Linked DNA regions of Arabidopsis thaliana. The protein of the gene in region 4 interacts with the protein of the main gene of each other region in a pairwise test. Each region holds a gene or a part of one and is shown on either strand. Other genes may lie near its edges.

Region 1 (4,236 bases), on a different chromosome or scaffold from region 4:
CACAAAAATAAAAAAAAATAAAAATCAGAACTCTTCAAACGCCTCTCTGTAATGTGATTTGATATAGTGTGAATTAGATGAGTAACCAAAAGCGTGCCAACAGCCAACTAATTAATATTCAAAGTAAAGAAGAAAAATAAAAAGAAAGTGAGAAATTGTCAAAGAGTTTATGGTTCATGTTTAGTTGAGACTATCGGTGTAAGGTGGTAGTTCTCCGTATGGGAGAATTCACATGGTTCAACTTCAAGTCAAGTTTAACACTAGACCAGTATACCTAACTGTCCAAAAATATTAATCACCGATTTATTTCATCAAATTATTATAAAGTTATATTTTTAGTATAGACAAATATATGAGGAATTTTCATGAAATACCCCTTTTGAATCTTAGATGTACCAATTTTCGAAAAATACTATTATTCAAAAAGACTACTACTCTACCGGAATATTTTTAGTAAATTTGCCATATTTTTCAGGTTTCTTTATTTTTAGGATAGATGAAAAATGAAGTTTTGTCTTCAACACCTATTAATTTATTTGTAAGATAGTTTAGCGAAAACAAAACAACTTTGATAAATAAACATGTAAATTTTATTAAGGGGAAATTGGAAATAAAAGATAAATATTTAAAAAAATTTCCATCTATACATTTTATGATCAAGATTGGTGACATATGCGTTTAATATAATTTAAATCCCACTATATCTCCAGCTTTTTTATGCTTACAAAATACAAAACAAAAAGTCCAAACCAATTTATTTTTACTTGGAGCAAATCAATATTCTTTTACTTGGAGTCGTCGTTCATCACTTCTTCGATATTGTCTTCCTCTATTCTTCACAAAAATTAAGCTGTTCACTCCTCTCAAATAACTCCAAAACAAAACTCTTTTTTTTTCAATTTATCTTTCTTTATTTCCCTCGCTTCAATTTCTCTTAGAATCTTACCATCTCTTTCTTTAAATATTTATCCTTTGTTTCCAATTTTCCCATTTATTAAAGACTCGTAAACAACCCTAAGAGGATATATAACTTACGATTAAAGAAATCAATTAGAAACAAGTCTTCATTGATGAACCTCTCCATCAAGCCGTGCCTAATAGGCTGGGGGGAAAATAGCCAAACACCAGTCACAAACACAAACCCCACCGTAAGCAGTCTCGACACTGCCGGATTCACCGGCCACCGCTGCACCAACTTCGTCTTCCTCTTCAGTGCCACTTCAGCCGCCATGCAAAACCCATGTAACACAAAGAACCAAGTCACCTCCCATGTAGGCTTCTCACGTGTCAAATAGAAGTAGAGAATCTCGTGAGCCACACCAGAGACGAGGAACGTGGCGAAAATCGCGAAGAACCGATCCCACTCGGAGCTCTTGGCTCGCCATTGCCGTATGGGGTTGTACACTGCGAGCCAGAGAATCTTCGAGACCATGAGGTTCCATCGGTGACCCCAGAAGTCATGTAGAGAGGTGGCTAAGTATGGTTCGTTGAATTGTGGCTCGAGGTCACACCCAAGAGTGATACTGACGAGAAATTTTATCAAGGTTAAGGAAATCTCAAGCTCCAAGTATATATGCAGAGCATAGAGACCCAATAGAAAATTCGTAGATAGAAATTGTTTGTAATGATACGCTTGTAGTAACAAGGCACCAAAGATGAAAACTTTCAGGGCAAAAACCCATTTGGGGAAATGGTTAGTATTTTCAGGGTTAGGTTTTTTTTGAAGCTTGATGGGGAAGCAAGCAAAGCAGACGAAATGAGGGAGATTAGGAGGAAGTGGAAAAAGAGGACCTTTTTCTAATGCAAAGAGGATGAGTTTTGGAACTGCAAGACCTGAGAGGAAAAATGCAATAGTGAAAGAGGAATGAACAGTGGAGAAAAAGATAGGAATAATAAGAAACAAAACACAAACAGGAAGAACAGATAGTAATCGAAGAAGACTGGTTTTGATTTTGGGTGTTAAGTAGTAACAATAAGTTACTGAAATGATTGCAGAAACCCATACTTGGATGAATAACTTGAGTTCTTCCTCCATGGTTACTGGTTAAGTGATAATAAACCAAGAAACATAGGAAAAATGTTTACAGTTGTAGTATATAAGCGTGGGAGCAATTAATAAAGACAGTATGTTTGTTACACATTTAAGGGAAAAAACTATTGGCAGTTGTTGAGTAGTTAATGGCTCTGGAAAATCTATCAAATTAAGTACTTTCCTCTTTTATGATATAGTAATATAGTACTAGTAGTGTATGTAAAAATAAAAAAAAATAAGTATGACTACCGTTTATAGTTTTTCTTTTCAACGTCTTAAATATTGAATTTTTTTATGAAAAAGTTAGCAGAGCAGAGCATAATTAACACTCGTAAAAAACAGTGAAATAAAACTAAGGTTGTCGTTTCTCCTTAATGCGATTATGAAGCCATGCGGGACCTCCCGTTCTAAGTACGAGTTGAAACGCACCCATCTCTCGTAACACAACTACACAAGCAATATCAATATATCATAAAAATTCGTTTTCGCCTGGAACTAAAGAATTTGAATGATTCAAAACCTGCAATAAGTTGACGAATTCTACCGATGAGGGAGCAATGAAGCTTCTATTTCTTAAATAATTTGACAGCAGAGTAAACATTTTGACCTATGCTTGACGTTATATGGGAAATCCATATAGTTTTTTTCTTCCTCTCGCTAACGCTCTTTGGCGATCTTTCCTCCCAACTATGTTGTATTTAGATAATCTCTCTACAAAGGGTTCACGTGAACATGACACAAACAGTAGTCGAGGGAACAAAAATTGATCGATCGATAGGAAGTGTTGGTTTGGTTCCAAGTAACACTATTATTTCATTCTTTAGTTCCAAGTAAAAACAAATCGTCATGTACAACGAACTTGGAACTGAAGCAAGTCAGTTTTTTTAGGGTTTGATAAGAAAGAAAGAAACGGCATGAAGAGACCAAGAGACATGCTGGCAGCATCTTAAAGAGTTTCTACTAATTCCAACTTGCCGACATCTTCAACAAGACAAGTTCGATTCATTTCAAGATAAGTAGTTGACCATTATGGACTTTGATGCTCAACCGGACTCAATAACGTTAACTCGTGCTCATTTAACACTCGTTATAAAATATCCCCAACAACGTAAATAAAATAACTTATCGCTTAATGAACTCAACGAGCAACACAGCTTCAGATGTGAATCTCTCCATCACCCCGCTCCTTTTAAGCTGAGGTGTAAACAACCAACCACCAGTCACAAACACAAACCCCACCGTGAGAACCCGCGACACCCCCGGACTCAACCGCCACCGCTGTGCTACCGTCGTTTTCTTCTTCACCGCCAATTCTACAGCAGTACAAACGCCATGTAACACAAAGAACAGAGTAACTTCTCCTGTAGGCATCTCACGTATCAAATAGAAGAAGAGCAATTCGTGAACCAAACCGGAGACGATAAACGCTGCCAAAATCCCCGGAAACAGAGCCCAACCGGAACTCATTTTGCGTTCAGAGACTCGCCGCATTGGTGCGTAAACGGCTGGCCGGAGAATCGCCGGAACCATGAGATTCCACCGGCGACCCCAGAAGTCTTGTAGAGATGTGGCTAAGTACGGTTTATTGGACTGTGGCTCAAGATCGCAGCCAAGAGAGATAAAAACAACAACTTTAACAAACGTTAATATAATCTCAATCTCTAAGTAGAGATGCACAAAATAGAGACCTAATAGTATAGTCGGAGACAGATTTTGTCTGTAGCTATACAAATGTAATAGCACTGCAAAGATTGCAAGTTTAATGGCGAAAACCAATTTGGGCAAATGGTTTTGAGATTTAGGGTTTTGCTGAACCTTGATGGGGAAGCAAGTGAAGCAGAAGAATCGAGGGAAATTTGTTGGAATTGGGATTAAAGGACCTTTATCGAAGGAGAAGAGGATGAGTTTGAAATTAGCAAGCCATGTGAGGAAAAACGCTGTGATTAAAGATAAATGCAGAGAGGAGAAAAACAGAGGAAGAACAAGAAACAGAGCAAGAACAGGGGAAACAGAGAGGAATCGAGGAGCACCAGATTTGATTCTAGGTGGTATGTAGTAACAATAAGATATCGAGATTATTGCAGAAACCCATACTTTGATCAAGTTCTTGAGTTCTTCATCCATCTCTCAGATCTTTGTTTGTGTTGTTGTTTTTGGCAATCACCGAGGTTATAACTTATTACTTGGCTATTTTTTTATGTGTC
Region 2 (3,538 bases), on a different chromosome or scaffold from region 4:
AAGAGGATGTAAAAGATCATCTCTAAGAATGTAAAAAGAAGATCCTTGCTTCGACTTCGACATTTCATCTCCGAGATGTGGACGAGTGTTGTTCAAGAAGGAGAATTTATCGATTCCTTTGACAGAAGAAACACTAATCTGCTGAATTGGAGATGCAGGACACTGTAATCCCCATTTTCTATCGAGTAATTTAGACACAAACTCTCGTGAATCGATCTCGGAAGTAATGGGAATTCTCTGAAATTGATTAAGACATTATCCCCAAAACGCAATGAAATCAGAAAAAGTTCAGATTTTTTTCTGCAATTGCAAATGGGTATTCTTAGAAGTGACAAAAGGAACGATTTTTAATTGATTTAGATGACGCAGAGAAGAGAAAAGAGAACCTGAGAAGACGAGTGAAAGTGATGAAGATTTGATTTTCCGGTCACCGCCAAAAAAGTTGACCGTTGGACCTTCATTGACGCTTCTCTCTGCAAAATTTCTTCTATTCCGGAGCTAGCGGAGAAGATATGGAGGTTTTTAGACGTGAAAAACACGCGCTTACTCACACGTTGATGGGCTAGGCCCTGTGAGAAAATACGGCCCATATATTGTGGGCTATTTTTGTAAATTTATGAGATGCAGAAATATATTAACCCCACAAATAAAAAACTTTCTTTATATTAGTATATTAAATATGTATCATCCCAATATAATCAATGTTACATCGAAGAAGGGATCGTCAAAATACATCTAAAACAAGAAAATATTACAAACATTTTTATTACAATAGTAATAAGTTCGCGCGCCGATCACAACTCTAGAAAAAGAAGAGCGATCCAGCAACTGCACCAACAACAGAGACAAAGCCAAAAGCTACGGTGGCATCGCTTCCGGAAGCTTCTTTTTGTGGTGGAGGATAGTTAGCGTACGAAGCATCGCTTCCAATAGGTCCGGCGACTGCCACTTCATCATCTCCATTGGCATCATCGGGAGTAACAGCTGCATCGTCGTTGTCAGTTGTTCCAATAGCATTGTCATCAGCTGGACCCTCTGCTATATCACCTCCAATGCCATCGGTTGGAGTTGTAGCGGTGGGAGCTGAGGCGGTGGTGGTTGACGGTGGTTTTTCGTTCTCAGCAGCTGATACGATCACGGCGGAGATAGCGACGAAGAGGAGGAGGAGAGCTAGGTGAAGACGCGCCATTATTTTTTAATTTAGTTATTTAGTAATCCCCAAAAAACTTTTTTTTTTTGAAAAATGTTTTATGGGTATTTTGTTTTATTTATTTATCTTGAATTGTGTAATGAGGGTCTTTGCTTATATAGTTGTTTGATCAAAGTGCTAAGATGACTCAACGCAATTTGAGGTTTTGCCAAAAATATTAAAGGTTGAGGAAAAAATTGCAAATTACATATTATCTTCTACTCCTAATTAAGCTTTTTCTAAATTCTAATCTTATCAAATATAGCAAAAACAATTTGAGAAATAGGATTTTAGATTTTTCTTCGATAGAATATTAGTACTCTAACTAGATTTTGACCCGCGGTATACCGCGGGGCTAGGTTTTTAATAAAATTTGTTATATAAAATGTATATGTAGATATTTGTTTTATTAATATTGTTTGCTTTATTTAGTGTTTAAGATAATATATATATAGATTTTAATTGTCATATCTAGGATTTCATCCGTAGTATATCGTTTCGTATTATTATCGATCAAAACCCGTCATACCATCTAATCATGCACAATGAAATTAAACATATCTAATGGATTTCACTTGTGGTATACCGTCTCGTAATACTATCGACCAAACCCGTCCTACCACTAACCCTGTTCAGTAAAATTAGACATTATTTTGTTATTTTTGTTTTAATAATACTTTAATTTAAAAAATATTTAATTCAAATCAATTTAGAAGTTTTCTTTCAAATATTTATTTAATTGTTATAAAGTTTATATATTATAATATTATAAACATGTCATACCATCTAGTCCTACTATCTAATCATGTTCGGTGAAATTATTTTATTTTATTTTTTTATTAATATTTTTATTAAAAGATTTATAATTTAAATCAATTTAAAGTTTTCTTTCAAATAATTATTTAATTTTTAAATATTTTAACCATTTTGGCAAAAATAACTAGGCCATGGAATAAGAGCATATTCTTTTGAATAAGATTTGCTTTTATTTGATAGTTAATTTTCGCATTGAATAAGCCAGTGGTAACCATTGTAAATAAGTTCCAACTCCATGATTTATTGATGTATATATAAATGTAAATCACAAAATGGCTGCAAAAATGTATATATAGATGTAAACCCAACAAATATGAAAACAGAAAATAAAATAAAAATTTGGTAGAAATTGAATCTGACAATAATTTGATTTAATGAAATTATTTGATAATTATTAACAACATAACCTAAAACTTAACCAATGAACAATTAGAATAATCTAAAAACCCTATACAATGAAATGTTAAAGACAAGTTTATGTTATTCCCCTTTTTGTACAAGCTTCCAAGTCTTATGAACATAAAAAGCAAACGCAAATTTTCTTGCGTTTTTGTTTCCTTGATGTCAAACGTAGTTTCTTACCAACCAAACCACATAAGTCAGCTAGCTAGCTGAGATCGATATCCACTTTTTCCGGTACACACCTTTCTTTTTGGTTCTTACCAAGCTCTGTTCCAAGCTGACCCTGATCGCCTGCACCAAACGCGAATAGCTTCCCCGATTCCGTGAGCGCAAATGTATGAGCGTTCCAGTATATGGAGTTCGTTAGACTTATCTGGACCATCCGCTCGTTCACTTGTTTTAGCGATGTTACTACCGTTGGACTTAGCACGTTTGCATGTCGATTACCCTGCAACAAAAAATCAAACCAGACATACGACTAAACATAAGTTTAGAACATATAATGTAAGCAAAAGAAACAATGGAGGCCATGGCCAATCACTAACCTGTTCATCAAAGGATGGATGGTGACCGAGACTAGCGGATTCGCCGCAGCCAAACGAGTAAACATCACCATCGTCTGAGACCACAAAAGTAGTGTAGTCTCCTGTTGCGACATGAACTGCTTTGACATGGCTTAGACCTTCAACAACCTTAGGGACTGATTCACACTCCTCGTTACCGTGACCTAAACATCCATATCTTCCCCAACCCCAAGTGCACACTCTTCCATCCTGACCTACCACCGCGGCATGCCAAGCACCCGCTGCAACTACCCTAGGTTGAAGATTCAATATCTGAAACTGCTCGATGACCCGAGGATACTTCTCATCTGTTCTTGACCCATGACCAAGTTTGCCTCCCAAACCGCAACCAACTGAGTAAACAGACCTAAAATAAGCATGCTACAGAGTCAGTGCTGCTGTTGGACATTTGCATAGTGTTCTATTGCACATGACCCATAGAAACATAGCAAAAAATTTAGGATCCAAATTATTTTTGTCAAAAGAGTTTAACCATACAAATATGACTACATTTGTTGTAACCTATAATATTGTTGAACTGGTCTAAAGTAGAAAAGAAAGTGTAAAA
Region 3 (3,534 bases), about 12 Mb from region 4:
CATTCAGGCGCCATTAACATATCAAAATTAGCCTCATGCACGTTTGTTTTGGTTTCTTCGTCGTCACTGGTATCTTCGCTCTCATCAGCTTCCACAGATTCGATTTCTTCCATCAACTTGCTCAACTTTTCTTCTATCATCGTCACGTTTGCACACTGATTGAGGACCATGATGATCGACTAAACCCTAATCCTCTATCTGAAATCCCAAAATCCTAAGATGTAATTCTCTAGACCGAGCGATGGTATTTAAATTACCTTATTATCCTAGAAACATGTGAAATTTAACATAATTGTCATCCAATTTGGTCTTTCAAAAAAAAATTCTTTTTTTTGCTCAGTTAAAAAAAAAAGTTCAACAATATATGTTCCAAAGACAAAAAGATTCACGCATTTTCATGATTTTAGAGTTCTTAGAATTTTTTGTTATAAAAGGTTTGCAGACATTAATTTTTTTCCCCAAATTAGAGTTTTTAGTTGAGGTATTAGAATTCTTTTTATCAAGAAAGGTACTTATAAAAATAAGTATCAGTGTGTGAAATCCACTACTTCAATGTTGGAATGTTACACCTTCCTCAAGAAGGAATTTGAGTAAGAAAGAAGTTGTGTAACCCATTATTATATGATCTTATCTTCGCAAAACATGCCTCTTCAACTAGTTGATGTAGTTTTAAGCTACTAAAATAATAACCGGGTAACTTAAATAGTGAAAACTGATAACAAACTTAATAGGATATGTAAATCACTTGGTTATTGGTCCATGTGTTGAAATTGTGTGGCAATGAACCCACAAACGGATAACAAATCATGATTTTCAATATCTCAAATGAGAAGTTGTGGGACGATCCATTCTAGATACTAAATGCTGTCATCAAGAAAAATTATCTAACCACAAACAAAAAAAATTGAGCCAATGCATCATGAACTTCTTCATTCTACTACTAACAATTGATTTTCTAAATTAACTTTACATTTACATTCGGGAGTGACTCAAGATAATCTAGATCAAAATTCCCTAAATAATCTAAAAATCAAGAACCTTAATATGAGTCAAAATCTCTTCTAATAAGCAGAAAATAAGCTAAAACAGCACAAAAAGCAGCAACAACATTGCCTTCTTTCAAAAGAACCTTAAACACAAATCCGACAACTTCTCTCGTAATCTTCCTTCCTTCAACCACTAAAACTCTTCTTGATTTCCCAAAGAAGGCAAGCAACACCACCACCGATATCCAAATCACCATCACCGCCGGAACCGCCACCGTCATAGCAGCCACCATCGACATAGCTCCAAACATCGCACCGAGCACCACCGACGCGTATACCGCCGGTAATCTTGAAGGAGAATAATCTGAATTTGATGACGTGTATTGAAGCTTGTACCAGTTAAGAACTGATCTCAGGAGGTTCCATGAAGAAGATACGAGAATTGCGTAGACAGCGATGAAGAGACAAACCCATGTCCGTCTTTTACTCATGATTGTGATGAAGATATGATACGATCTTGGAGATTCTGTTTGATCTGCCATTAGAGATTGGAAGTTCTTGCTTATCGATCGAATCTGTTTTGAGATTTGTCTGCGACTGAGCAAAATAAAATAGAGCAGTTTATGAGAATCCTTACACTCAGTCGTAGCGCGTGTCGTGTACGCTTCTTTGTGAATTTGTTTTTGAGCTGGCAATCGCGTGGTTATGGTTCACACGCGCTTTAATATATTTTTTTTTGTGAAATATGAAAAACATTTGGTCGAATTTGTGAGATAATGAAATGGTAATTGGAAAGATTGTGACTGCATTGTTTTTAATAATTAAGTAAATTTAAATTCTGTGGAAGTATATTTAATCAATAAACTGGAAAAACAAAAGAAAAGATTTCGTTACCATAACGATTTAAATTTAAGATTTTGTTATACAGAAAAAGAAATGTAGAAGATTTTTTTCTAATTTAGAGGAGTCAAACAATGATATATAACAAAAAAAATCACAATCCGGTGGATTTGTGGGGTAAGTCATTAATCTTTTACTATTTTGTTTGGAAAAATTAGTAGTCAATATCATTATGACTACATATATCAGTGTCAAAGACTCAAAGTAATGGCTTAGATATTTTATGTTAATAAAAGGAATATATATACTGTGAAAAAGACAAGTTTGTGTAAGGGATCGCATATAATCTCAACTAATACAATAAACAAAGATATAGCCGTTGGCATTAATCAGCTTTGGCTAGACCAACCAGAAGATCAGAATCTTGAGAAGATGGAGAAGAATCAATCTGATGATGATGGAACGGCTCTGATCTTTCTTGGAACAGGCTGCTCCGGTGCAGTTCCCGATTTCAGATGCTTACTCCAGCCGTCAGATCCTCCTTGCCATGTCTGTTCTCAGTCCCTCTCTTTACTTCCTCACCTTAACCCTAACTACAGGTAAATCTTGTCATCAGTTTCTTCTCTTTGGGTTTTGGTCTTTGAAGCTGTGGAGATTTGTGAAATGTCAAATCTTGTTGCTTTCCGTAAAGACCCTTTTGAAGTTGGGAGTTTTGATTGAAAAAAGAGACATCTACTGTTGTCTATATTCGTGTTGGAGTTTAGGTTTTAATCCATTTTAGGTAAAAATGAACCATCCGATTTCTAGTGTTCTTGGGAAATTATTTCAGATATATTAGGGTTTGGTGAACATTCTTGAATCTTGATTCTCTGTTTTTTGGCAGATGCAATACATCGCTCTTGATTGATTATTGCAGCAAGGAAGAAGATGGTAGACATAAGTACATACTTATTGATGTTGGCAAGAGTTTTAGAGAGCAAGTCCTTCGTTGGTTTACCTTTTATAAGATTCCTCGAGTCGATTCCGTTAAGCCCTTTATATACTTATCTTCTTGATCTCTTGCATCTATTTTTTTCTCTGAAATGAAATCTAACTTTTACTGACTAATGCTTGTATGATTTTGTGTAGATCATTCTAACTCATGAGCACGCAGATGCGGTTCATGGCTTAGATGAAATTCGATCTCTTCAACCTCGTGGTGCAACTATTGTTGATACCGATCCACTTCCCGTCTTTCTATCTCAATTTACAATGGAGAGGTACCATCTTCGATTAGTGTTCTCTATCTCAACTCTGGCTTAAAGCTTTTCAAATTAGCATTTGATGAGACTTTTAAGGCAACAAAAAATTGTGCAGTATTGCTACAAGGTTTCCTTATTTGGTTGAAAAGAAGGTAAAAGAAGTACCTAGACGAGTTTCACTTCTTGACTGGAAAAACATCGAAGAGAATTGTGACGAACCATTCGCTGCCTCGGGCTTATCTTTCACGCCTCTTCCGGTTAAATTTCTTTTCACTTTTGAGAAATCAAAACAGTCTAATTCTTCCATGAGACCTTATAGACTCAACAATGTTAGTTATGCTTTAGGTGATGCATGGAGAGGACTACATTGCTTTAGGTTTCCTCTTCGGCGATAAAAGTAAAGTGGCTTATATATCAGACGTATCACGGATTCCACCGAGTACCGAGTATGGTAAGAGCTCATTATG
Region 4 (5,649 bases):
CATATAATAGTTTTCTGAAATATATATATTCACTATATATGTATGCAGAATTTTGCAAAGAGCCTATTGGATGTGGCGGATAATCTTGGAAGAGCTTCTTCGGTTGTCAAAGAAAGCTTCTCAAAGCTTGACACCTCAGAAGATTCTGCTGGAGCAGCTCCACTATTAAAGACCCTTTTAGAAGGAGTGGAGATGACTGAGAAACAGCTTGCTGAGGTAAATATCGAGAAATGTAATTATAAGACCTTAAGTAAGCAATGCAGATGAGACCGGTTAAACATGTGTGCCGCTGCAGGTATTTAAGAAATTTGGTATGGAGAAGTATGATCCTATAAACGAGCCATTTGATCCAAACAGACATAACGCAGTGTTCCAAGTCCCTGATGCTTCTAAGCCAGAAGGCACAGTTGCTCATGTCTTGAAGGTAAATATATAAAGCTTGCTCAATTCTTTGTCTCTTTATTTCATATTGTATAGTCTTAAATACCAATTAGTAATGATGGGTGTCAATATGTGCAGTCTGGATACACGCTGTATGACCGAGTTATAAGACCAGCTGAGGTTGGTGTTACCCAGGGAGGAGAGAACCAAGAAGAAAAGAAAGAGTCTGATGCTTAAGAAGAAGTCAGCTGGTTTTCATAAATTTTGTTACGGTTCTATGTTTCCATTAACATCTTCTCGAGTCTTCGAGTCATAGTTTTCTTTTGTGGTTTGGTTATTCATTAGATGAACAAGATCTCCCATAAGTTGCTGGACATGGCATTTGCAGGGGAAATCCTGCTTCTGTGTCTGTTTTCTCTATCTCCATGCTATAATTGAACGAGGAAAATATCATTTTACATCTCTTCTACTCGCACACTATTACCAAGTCTCTGTTTGATTAGTTAAATCAGATACAAATCAAGGTTTTACATGGTCTGATACAACCAGAAACTAACCATAGAGAAAGAAGCTGAAAACAGAGTCACAAAACTTGCACTCACTATTTAAAACCTCCCTTGCAACTTATGTTGAAGAATGTCTCCGAGCTTTTCATAAAGCATTTTCTGCTCCTCGTGTCCCAGGCTCCTCGATATCTGCAGGTATAATACAATCAATTATTTACAATGCCTCCGTATTCTTGGCTTATATGATGATTCTTACCTGGTCTAGGATCATCTCGACACTGTAGTCCCGATTAACAATGAAAGATTGGATGTAGATGTATGCGAAAACCGCCATAACCATCTGCATTTAGGCAACAAGATTCGTTTAAAACGATGCAAAGATCATATTGCACTTTTCGACGTTAGTGACTCTTACTTGGCAATCCATTCTGTCAGTAAATCCTCCATGTCCTGGTATGCTGTCTCCGAAATCCTGTCAAAGCGACATAAACTAGTAAATATTTGTTCTTGGATCTGTAGATACAAAACCTTTTAATGTTTGAAAAATGTGTTAACCTTGATCTTGAAAGCTCTTTTGAAACCGCTTGCGAAGAAGCCACCAAAAGGCGCCATAATGGATGCGAATAGACCGAGAGAAAAAGCATGCCATTGGACAGGCAGGGTCGAGATCCCTTTCCATGGAGACTGTTAAGCAAAGTTCACAACGGAGCTCAGTTTCAAAACAAGACAACATCATCGGCTGGTTTTCACGAGAGGACAGTTAATTGCTTACAAATGGAGTAATCCAAGAGGGAAATGGGTAATACTCTGGCCTGAAGAGAGGGCCTGGATCACAATGAAGCCAACCAGTTGATAAATCCTGCAAAAGATATGCAACACAAGGATGAAGTAAAGGCCGAGACAAAATATTGTGATGGAGATATCACTTTTTGTTACCTTCCTTGGACATGTAAGCCATTGGAACTGGCCTAAGACATTAGCAAACTGTTGTACGAAGCAGATAATAATCTATCAGTCTTGAGACCAAAAGAAAGAGTTACGAACGAATGAATAAATGATAGAAGAAGGTTATTACAATAAATGCAGAGATTATAGTTGCAACTGATGCTCCGATGAAACCTTCCCATGTTTTCTTTGGAGACAACTTGATGAGCGGAGTTTTCCCGAAATAGAAACCGAAGAAGTAAGCTGCTACATCGTTCATAGCAATCAGTGCTGCTGGTAGAAGAAACCTGCATATTTAAAAGAAATTAGCACTCGGGAAAACTATTATGCTTCAGTGGATATATATAAGAGTCCATTGTACCAGAAGATCCCTTCAAAAATATTGGCGACGGTGAAAGAAGATTGAGTAAAGACAACGATAAGGATCATATGTGTCCAAGCGTATTGCCCAAACTGATACTTATACATCTTATTCTTCAATGTAAGGATAAACCATATGAGACCTGAATCCAACTTAAGCTGTTAATAAATCAAGAAAGAGAGTATTGTTTTTGTGAAGAAAAAAGAAACAGACAAACCTGCGATGTACAAGAAGTAGCAAATAACCATCTGGTACTTGATAAGACCACTCACAAGCTTGTATATGAATCTATCTGAAGAAACCGTGTTGACTAGCTGCTGTTGAATGATGCGTCCATAGACAAACAACATAGCCGTGAAGAAGAAGTGCCAATTCAAGAGCCAGAAACCGGGTAAGCGACGTTCTTCATGAGCTCTTCTGCGAAGAAAGAAGAGCTCTTTGGCCATGAATATCTGTATAACCACAACCATAGCCCAAATGTAGAGATGACCCATGTAGATTATAAACACAACTCCACCGAGCATCCAGAGAGATGAGCATGTCCTTATCCACATTGATCTGTACTTGTTCTTATCACCAAGTAACAAATTGCTTACTCTGCTTACATTGCTTCTGTTCACCTCAGCTAAATTCTGATCAATATTGAAAAAGACAATCAAATTTTGGATTCAACCGGAAAAGAGAGTATGACATTGTATAGATACCTCGCTTGATCGCCTGCGGTGTCGAATGCGAGCTGTTGGAGAGCTAGGAGTATAATTGTAATCCCTTGGTGAATTAGGAATGTTGGGATAATGGTTATCTCTCTGGTTATTAGTATTCATTCGAGACGTTGGTGTAGTAGGGTAACTAGTATCCCTTAGCTTTCTAATCCGTGGAGAATTTGGACTGAGATCTTTCTCCATTGCCATTGAGATCCCTAGGAAATGCTCTCAGTTCCTGGATTGAGTTCTTGAAATTCAGTTAATCATGATGATCTGGGTTTCTTTATACATCCGAGGAAATGAATTTGGGGTTGATCTATAATTTCAAAATGTCAACCATAACTCGAGCTTATACACGTCTTAATGAAACACACACATTGATATCTGATGAGAGATTACTTGTGTAACAAGCATATAATAGAGGATTTAGATTTGAATGTGTAAGCCTAGAAATCTAAATGATTCATCAAAGCAAAACGTGATGATTCACATACAAAGGATAAATTTCATAAGTGAACATTGCAACAAAATGGGATCATGACAAGTAGAAAAAAGAGAATGAACTTACATTAACGAAAACGTGGTGGGATGATGGTGATTGAAAATGCGAAACCCTAATTAATGAAAAGAAACGTGAAGAAAGAAACTCAAAAGGTGAGGGAAGAAGGAGGAGGAGGAAGGTGGTGGATGAGCACTTAGCGGTGAGGTTTCATCAAATCATCGGAAGAGAGAACCAATAAACTATTCATGTCGCTGCTTCATGTTTAAACCCGGAATGAGTGACACGTGTTGTCTTGATCTGTTTGGGCTGGGTCAGATATTTAAGCCCATTAAGGAAAGCCTTTTAACTATTCAGACATGAGCATGAGGAGTCAACGAGGTCTGTGAGATCAGTGGTCAAATCAGTAAATAACGCGAAAAGACAGGGTCTCTCACCTTTTTGCTGTTGTTTTTTCCTCATTAATTATTGAGTTCCGTAAAATGGGTCCCACTTTTCCCATTTCCCAACCTCCATAACCAAAGTTGGAGATTTCTCTGTTTCCTATGCTCTCTCTCTCTCTTACTCTCACAGTGACTATTCGTCGCTTCAGATCTAAAAGAGAGGAAGATAAACCATTTGGATTCAATATCGATTAAGGTAAGAAAGCCATCTTCTACTTGTTGGATTCGATTAGTTTCATTTCAGCTCATTGCCTCTTTACTTCTTCAATGTTGATTTCTTGCTTTGGCTTTGGTTTTATCACCAATGCTGTTTGATTTCTTTGAAGTTCCTTTCGAGCTTTTCTTGAGCTTAGTTTCACATTCTTAGCTTCACTAAGTTCTTTGATGTGTTTTTGTTCCCAAGTTCAAAATGTTGTTTCTGATTCAATTTGGTTTTCTAAAAAAGATTGCAACTTTGGTTTCTTTTAGTGTATAGTTAGTTTGGATCTTCACTAAATATGTTCGTTGTTTCTACTTTTGTAGGAAACCTTTTGACTTCACAAGAATGGCAGTGACAGAAGCAGAAAATCCTCTTCTTGGTGAAATCACTTGTGGCACCTTACTACAGAAGTTGCAGGTAGATTTCGCAACATACACACTTATCCTTTTAATATATGGTTCCACAAACTCAATGTACAAACTTGTTACAGGAAATCTGGGATGAGGTTGGGGAGAGTGATGAAGAACGAGACAAACTGCTTCTACAGATTGAGGAAGAGTGTCTGAATGTTTACAAAAAGAAAGTTGAGCTAGCCGCAAAATCTCGTGCAGAGCTTCTTCAGACTTTGTCAGATGCCACTGTTGAACTTTCCAATCTCACAACTGCTCTCGGGGAAAAAAGCTATATCGACATTGTAAGTAATCTCACGTCTTACAAGTGGTAAAGAGATGAGATGGTTACAGTGTAGTGTGATTCAATGTCTTTGTTTCCATTGCAGCCTGATAAGACTTCAGGAACGATCAAAGAACAACTTTCTGCAATAGCACCTGCGCTTGAACAACTTTGGCAACAGAAAGAGGAAAGGGTCCGGGCATTTTCTGATGTACAATCACAGATTCAGAAGATATGTGAGGAGATCGCTGGCGGATTGAACAATGGACCTCATGTGGTTGATGAGACTGACTTGTCTCTAAAGAGATTAGATGACTTCCAGAGGAAACTCCAAGAGCTCCAGAAAGAGAAGGTAAAATATTAGTTGGGATATGGTTATGTGTGGCCTATGTTCAAACCAGAACTAAAACTGCTTTGTGTTTGAGCAGAGTGATAGGTTACAGAAGGTGCTCGAGTTTGTGAGCACGGTGCATGATCTATGTGCCGTCCTTCGTTTAGATTTCTTAAGCACTGTCACCGAAGTTCATCCGAGCTTAGATGAGGCAAATGGTGTTCAAACCAAGAGCATTAGCAATGAAACACTTGCAAGGTTGGCTAAGACTGTCTTGACTCTTAAAGAAGATAAAATGCAAAGACTTAAGAAGGTTAGTCAAAATCATGGTCTTTGTGATCTCTGACATGAGCTTGGTCAGTTTAGGCTGCACATATGTTGAAATCCTTTCTGATTAATTGCGCTGAAAGTTTGTAACTTTTCTCTGCACCATTCTTGTTTGTGGATTTCATTAATGTATCTTGGTTTTATGCAGCTTCAAGAACTAGCTACTCAGCTAACTGATCTATGGAATCTGATGGATACTTCTGATGAGGAAAGGGAGCTTTTTGACCATGTTACCTCTAACATTTCAGCTTCAGTTCATGAAGTGACTGCCTCTGGTGCTC

Evidence for each region.
Region 1: the proteins of AT4G26770 (region 4) and AT5G55330 interact in a protein complementation assay, tested with the Arabidopsis thaliana proteins (one large-scale study listed by BioGRID).
Region 2: the proteins of AT4G26770 (region 4) and AT3G26110 interact in a protein complementation assay, tested with the Arabidopsis thaliana proteins (one large-scale study listed by BioGRID).
Region 3: the proteins of AT4G26770 (region 4) and AT4G03600 interact in a protein complementation assay, tested with the Arabidopsis thaliana proteins (one large-scale study listed by BioGRID).

What each region holds. Positions count from the first base shown.
Region 1 is NC_003076.8:22,436,831-22,441,066, forward strand, and holds AT5G55330 (MBOAT (membrane bound O-acyl transferase) family protein), read right to left. Parts: upstream 2,055-4,236; 5' UTR 2,036-2,054; coding exon 995-2,035; 3' UTR 641-994; downstream 1-640. Other genes in the region: AT5G55340 (MBOAT (membrane bound O-acyl transferase) family protein), read right to left, coding at 3,155-4,156. UniProt on the Arabidopsis thaliana protein: Catalyzes the final step in the synthesis of long-chain linear esters (waxes).
Region 2 is NC_003074.8:9,539,224-9,542,761, reverse strand, and holds AT3G26110 (Anther-specific protein agp1-like protein), read right to left. Parts: upstream 1,280-3,538; 5' UTR 1,190-1,279; coding exon 803-1,189; 3' UTR 598-802; downstream 1-597. Other genes in the region: AT3G26115 (Pyridoxal-5'-phosphate-dependent enzyme family protein), read right to left, coding at 1-237, 387-461; AT3G26100 (Regulator of chromosome condensation (RCC1) family protein), read right to left, coding at 2,613-2,855, 2,953-3,337.
Region 3 is NC_003075.7:1,602,781-1,606,314, forward strand, and holds AT4G03600 (pyrroline-5-carboxylate reductase), read right to left. Parts: upstream 1,849-3,534; 5' UTR 1,529-1,848; coding exon 1,040-1,528; 3' UTR 858-1,039; downstream 1-857. Other genes in the region: AT4G03590 (Cystatin/monellin superfamily protein), read right to left, coding at 1-170; AT4G03610 (Metallo-hydrolase/oxidoreductase superfamily protein), read left to right, coding at 2,259-2,425, 2,710-2,851, 2,955-3,085, 3,183-3,324, 3,413-3,518.
Region 4 is NC_003075.7:13,480,035-13,485,683, reverse strand, and holds AT4G26770 (Phosphatidate cytidylyltransferase family protein), read right to left. Parts: upstream 3,621-5,649; 5' UTR 3,466-3,620; intron 3,133-3,465; 5' UTR 3,105-3,132; coding exon 2,898-3,104; intron 2,826-2,897; coding exon 2,411-2,825; intron 2,336-2,410; coding exon 2,194-2,335; intron 2,120-2,193; coding exon 1,963-2,119; intron 1,872-1,962; coding exon 1,824-1,871; intron 1,747-1,823; coding exon 1,660-1,746; intron 1,572-1,659; coding exon 1,443-1,571; intron 1,360-1,442; coding exon 1,303-1,359; intron 1,228-1,302; coding exon 1,144-1,227; intron 1,077-1,143; coding exon 987-1,076; 3' UTR 741-986; downstream 1-740. Other genes in the region: AR192 (Co-chaperone GrpE family protein), read left to right, coding at 49-216, 296-424, 520-618; MAP65-2 (microtubule-associated protein 65-2), read left to right, coding at 4,384-4,455, 4,529-4,732, 4,817-5,062, 5,139-5,354, 5,517-5,649. UniProt on the Arabidopsis thaliana protein: May be involved in the synthesis of minor phospholipids and in modulation of IP3-mediated signal transduction.